Linked DNA regions of Drosophila melanogaster. The protein of the gene in region 1 interacts with the protein of each later gene in a pairwise test. Each region holds a gene or a part of one and is shown on either strand. Other genes may lie near its edges. The genes, in order: CG34117 and CG13689.

Evidence for each region.
Region 2: the proteins of CG34117 (region 1) and CG13689 interact in a two-hybrid assay, tested with the Drosophila melanogaster proteins (one large-scale study listed by BioGRID).

Annotation. Positions count from the first base shown.
Region 1 is NT_033777.3:9,398,841-9,401,706, reverse strand, and holds CG34117 (uncharacterized protein), read left to right. Parts: upstream 1-1,653; 5' UTR 1,654-1,710; intron 1,711-1,766; 5' UTR 1,767-1,767; coding exon 1,768-2,073; 3' UTR 2,074-2,137; downstream 2,138-2,866. Other genes in the region: CG8132 (uncharacterized protein), read right to left, coding at 1-66, 122-140; RpL34b (ribosomal protein L34b), read left to right, coding at 701-765, 829-1,270; Or85f (odorant receptor 85f), read right to left, coding at 2,156-2,209, 2,272-2,427, 2,480-2,681, 2,751-2,866.
Region 2 is NT_033779.5:601,258-604,386, forward strand, and holds CG13689 (uncharacterized protein), read left to right. Parts: upstream 1-1,555; 5' UTR 1,556-1,613; coding exon 1,614-1,749; intron 1,750-1,816; coding exon 1,817-2,082; 3' UTR 2,083-2,305; downstream 2,306-3,129.

The DNA.
Region 1 (2,866 bases):
CGGCGTTTTGGACATTGGCCACTTTGTCCTTGGAACCCTTGAGCTGCAGCAGCGCCAAACGCATGACTATTAAATAAGAAATATTTAAGTGGATCTCTTTGAAATTTTGAGAAACACTTACTGTTGCTAGTTTTGCTCATATTGCTGCAATTAAATGTTATCTTTTCGCGGTTTGATAACAGATTTCATCGCAAGCAAAACAACAACAGGTTATCGCAGGGGCGTAGTAAAAGGGATCAATATTTATAAAACGCATTATTTAACCTCATATTAATACGCATATACTTAGCCAAAGCATACTTAACCAAAAGAATATAGCATTAAATTGTGTATAAAATCCTAACTTTTCTAACAAAAAATAAATAATTTGCAACCCCCATAAGCCCATGTTTTCATGGCAATCTGGCAAGGTCTGCAGTGCTCGAAAGTGTCGTACAGTGGGCAGCGCAGCCAAGTTCACGTCGTGCGCGAACAGGGTTGCCACCTTTCTTTCTAGTTTCGTCTCTTTGAGGTATGCACGTGTTCAATTAACAATTTCACGCAAATTCGCCGAAATGTGTGAAAAAATTGTGAAAATATACCACCAAATGCAGCCCAAACTGCACCCACCCTAGTGTAACTCCAAACTAATAATGATTTTCACCGCTTTTGCACATGTAACCCACGAATCGCCACGACAAGCAGCAACAACAACAGCAAAATGGTCCAACGTCTGACGCTCCGGAGACGCCTGTCCTACAACACACGCTCCAACAAGCGGCGCATGTAACTATCCAACTGCAATACACCTCACCAATATGAAAAATAACGCACATTTGCAATTTACAGTGTTCGCACGCCCGGTGGTCGTCTGGTTTACCAGTATGTGAAGAAGAACCCCACCGTGCCCCGTTGCGGCCAGTGCAAGGAGAAGTTGAAGGGTATCACCCCCTCCCGCCCCAGCGAGCGCCCCCGCATGTCCAAGCGCCTGAAGACCGTGTCCAGGACCTACGGTGGAGTGCTGTGCCACAGCTGCCTGCGCGAGCGTATCGTGCGCGCCTTCCTCATCGAGGAGCAGAAGATCGTCAAGGCCCTGAAGAGCCAGCGCGAGGCGCTCGTCAAGCCGGTGAAGGCCCCCAAGGCCAAGCCCGAGCCCAAGAAGAAGCCCGCTGCTGGAGCCAAGGGAACCAAGGCCGGTGCCGGCAAGGTCACCAAGGGTGGTGCTGGCGCCAAGGGAGCCGCTGGCAAGAAGCCCGGCCAGAAGCCAGCCGCTGGCAAGCCCAGGAAGTAAACAGCCCACGCAACGAGTTCGGTGTACTGCTAAATAACTTTTAAAATAAATTGGTTTTTTCCAACTGGATTTACTGTTTGTATTTTTAGTTTGACAGTCCAGTTGGATTGTGTACTTTACTTATTGGTTGTTCTTGTTTTCCAATCAGACCGTTCGACTTTTAGACATTTATAGCAAAACGATTTCAAAAGTGAGAATATAATATAATTAAAATAAATAAATTTTAAATATTTCGTTTGTCACAGAGTTTTACTGTGCTCGTAGTCAAACTTTTGATGATTTTTCAGATTTATTGATAATTATAAAAAATAAGATCCAGTGTTATTTTTCAAAGTGTCAATTTGTGAGAGTGATCACTGTATATTCATTGTATGACTAGGTGGCAACTCTGTTGAGAACAGCTGTTCGGCAGAAGCAATTGGAATTTTCTTAAAAATCACGTAAGTCGTTGATTGTTTATAGTTTCTTGCAAATGCAATTAATATTTTGTGTTTAGAATGGCGGGAACCAAGGTGCTGCGCTCCCTGCTGCACGAATTGCGCCAGGCATCTCCAAATGGCTGCATCAAGGACTCTCTGGCCGCGCGCTACATTTTGGCGCAATACAAGAAGTTCGCCACCACGGAACAACAATTCTGCAAGGCGCGCAACGAAGCGACTTTCCTGGGTCAAACCTACCTGACCTACCTAGCCAGCCAGCGCCGGTACTTGGAGCTCTACAAGGAATATCACGGAAGGGGCGAGAGATCCGTAAGGGATACCGCCGATTTGGTGGGCTTCAAGCTGCCCTCGGATCCCAAGTGATCTAGTTATATAGAAAGATAGTTACTAGCGTAGTGCGATTAAAGCGTCCCGATTTTGCAAACTCCGTGCTTGTGTTTGCTGTCTACTGAATCATCTGCATGAGCATGGTTATAACCCGGTAGGAGACGCTCATCAGCTGCAGTTGAAAGCGAAATTCACATAATGTCATATAAAGTATACGTGGTGTTTGCATTTTACCTGTTTAAAGGTGTCCAGCGAAATGGACAGGTAGCCCATGGCATTAAGTTCCACGGGCTGCTGCGCCCTGATAATGATTATGAGCAGGTACCTCTTGTACGCTATAGAAGCATCGTGAAAATCATGATTGTACACGGCGTGGGCCACCTCGCCGCTCTGCGAAGAACCTCAGTTAGTGGGCATACCAAGGATCTCAGCCATTACCCACCAAGTCGAGAACTTGCTGACCGTAATAGCACACCAGGTAGACCTGCATCACAGAAGTCCCGATGAAGATCACATAGGTGAAGCCCTCCAAGGTGGGACCCTGAATCAGAGTGTACACCGCCACCGTGCAGATAACCGCTGCGGTGGTCAGCAGGCTTAGAAGCAGCGATTTTCCAAAGATACCATTCAGATCGTTTTGCAAACTGATGAAAGTGCTCATCGTAAAATTCAACTATCACTAAACATTTGGCGTAAATCACTTGCATAGTTACCTGACCAGGTGCACCTGCTTGTCGACAATTTTCGCAATGAATTTCCTGTCCTCCTGGTCGTGCTTCACACTGGGCTTGTGATCCGCCAGTGATCGTATAATGCCCCTGAAGTGGAG
Region 2 (3,129 bases), on another chromosome or scaffold:
GGAACCACTCGAATTAAAATCTTTTTTTGGCTTCGATGCGCGCAAAAAATATGCAAAATAAATGCGGGCAAAAAATCGCTGGCCAAGTCCATTAAAAGGGAATAAGTGCGTGCAAATCCTGGCCGCAGGATGTTTTTCATATTATCAGAACGCATATTACTTCATCGGAAATGAAGAGCTTTCGTTCCCCCCGCTAGTTGCCAAAGTAAACATGTGTGAATTGCTCGGGAAAAGTGAGGGATGATGGGCGGGATGATGGCCATGATATCCATATCTGTATCCGTATCCATAACCATAACCACGCGCCTTTTTCGCTACACTAAAACCGCAATACAAACACACCCACACCCACTTAAGAGAACGGAAAAAAGAACGAGGGGCACAGGATATGTTGGATGGAATGTACTGTGCACCACATTCAAGTTGATCCCCTTGTAAATCTCTAAATTGTTTTATGAACATATTGGCCGGGAAGGTGTAAACCTAATTTTCCTTTATGAACCGGACGAGGCAGGTAAAGTGGAAGTGCATCCATACCCGGACTTTTTGTTCCGGCTCAGCAGGATGCACTCCATATCAATGTGCTCTTTGTTTGGCCGCCTCATTTAAATCGTACCGCTGGCCAATTTGCATTCGCACTACAGCCAAATTGATCCGCCCTAATCCCAGTTTTAGTTTTGGTTCCCGAACTTCTTCTTCGCTACTTCGAGCGACCGACCGATCGACCGAGATTTATAAGCGCGGGATTTGAATTTGCTAGAAAAACAAAACTCCTCTGCCTTTTCCTCAGGCTTTAGCCTTAGCCCTGGTTTGGCTATGTTTCTGGCTGGGATTGGCTTGGATCTGGATTTCGGTCCGATCCGGCTTGGCTTCTGCTCTGGCTTTAACTTTGCGCTTGCCCTTTGCCGGGAAGGTCTGAACCAGAGTTTTGAAGTCAGTCGGTTGACCGGAAAAGGCCTTCAAGGGGTTGGCCGCGAGGGCAGGGAAATATAAGGGTTTTATCATTTAAGAAATGAAGAGATTTTGTTGGAATAAGTAATTCTTCAAAAATGAATAAAATTTCATTTCATTAATTTGCGGCATAATTTCATAATTATTAATTATATAAATTTTGTAATATATTGTATTGATTTTTAAGACAATTTTTTTTAATATGTATCTATGAGATTCTAAGTTAGAAACAATAATTATTATATCTAAAAGTAACATGGTGGCGCCATCTGTTGTTCCCTGAAAGCCCCTGTACTTAATTTCCGGTAACAGTAATAAGACGCCATCTGGAGTTCGCGTTGTTTACAATCTGTACACACACTGGAATTAACAGCTGTTACAGTCCGATAGACGATTATTCACATCACAATCTTAAACTGCTTTTAAAAAGATATTATTTAAAATTATTTACAAAGAAAACAACCAATTGCCAAATCAAAATTATAATGAATCATTATTAAAGCGCTTCATATGAACCAAAATATATAATTCTGTGAAGCGGTCGCTAGATTTCAGTTTCTGGCCACATTTTGGATAATTTGGCAACACTGCAATCTTGTTATTGCTTATGCTGAGAAGTAAACAAAAGGCGACGAATGTTTGTATTTTCCTAATAAAAGCCAATGGAGGATTGGAAATCGGAGGAAATGGCAAGGAAAAGAAACAGGAATAGGAGCAAGCAGCGCAGACGAAGGCAGAAAAGTGAGGGAAAGCCGAAGCCACATACATCTCGAGATCAGTGGAGCAATGTGGCTCAAAGTAACAATAATAGTCATTAATAAGTTTTTTAATAGTGTTAACCATTTAAAATTCCCTGTTATTGTAGTATACCAAAGCCTTTTTGAATGGCACCACAATCATGTTATGAGTCTCTGCCCTGAGGTTAATCCGAATCTGGATCAGGACCTTGAGGATATTCCCAAGGAAACAGGAACGTTTCACTGCCTGGACTACGTGTACGAGAGTTCTTCCGAGGATGAGGAGATCGAACCCATTGACGAGGGCTATCTGAAGTTCCTCGAGGTGACCATTAAGCATCAGCAGGAACTCAGGGATCGAAGAACTGCCCAAACCACCGACTCTTTAGATTAGAATTTTGGTAAAATAGGTTTTTACGCAGATGAAAACTTACAGTTCATTTTTATCTGGTAATGACTTAAAAATGTATCTTACGTAAAATGTTATAATTTAAGCTCAAGTTTATAGGTTTGGTATTTAGTTTTGGTAAGCAGAAAATGTACCTTTTATAGGGGATATTTTTATATGTAGCACTTTGTCTTGAACGTATTAAGTATATAAGATGTTTTGATAACTTAATGTTCATACTTAGCCATTCTAACTGAATGCCTCAAAGGGCTAGAATCAAGACCTGCGTAGGACGAAAAAGCAACTGTACTTTAATTCCCGGAACTCTTCAAGCGGGAGACAAGTGTCTGATATTCTGCTTTTCTCACATGGTTCTCCACTAATGAAGTTGTGCGAAGTTGGCAGTTTTTTGGCCAAAGGAAACGCACATTAACCCGACCAAGACTAATGCGATGTCATTTATAATCGCGCTGGGAGAACCAGAAGAAAGCTTCAAATTGGGGCATGACTAAAAAGGGAGAGGGGCTTTTGGTAGGATGGAGGACCATTTGTGGGTCAGAGACAATGTCTGCTGCTCGTGTGGGCGTGGCAAGTTGGGCATTAGCCAACATTTTTCGGCACTTTTCAGCAGAAAACCTAATTAAGACGTCCGACTCTGAGTGGCAATGGATTTTCTTGGCTTACTTATATCCCCCATCCTCTCTCTCCTGACCAAGCTCCTCCGCCCCACGGAGCTCGTTTCCCACCTGCTCCTCATTCTCCACTGAAATCACGACTGGCGACGACAACTGCGAACGACCTTTCTAATGCCCGGCCACTGCATAAATCATGGCCCAAATGGCGGCCACCTGCAACCGGCAGCAATAGCAGTAAGCCAACAGCAACTGCAAGTGCACTGTAAGAAATCGCATTGCTCGATAGTCCTTTATGCTCACATTTAATTCTCATTACTTCAAAATATGAGTTTCTCCCAGTCCATTTATCTTCGGTGTTCAGAAAACCATTTGTTGTTACAAAATTCCCATTCGAATTCGTTCAGTGTAGCTAATAAGG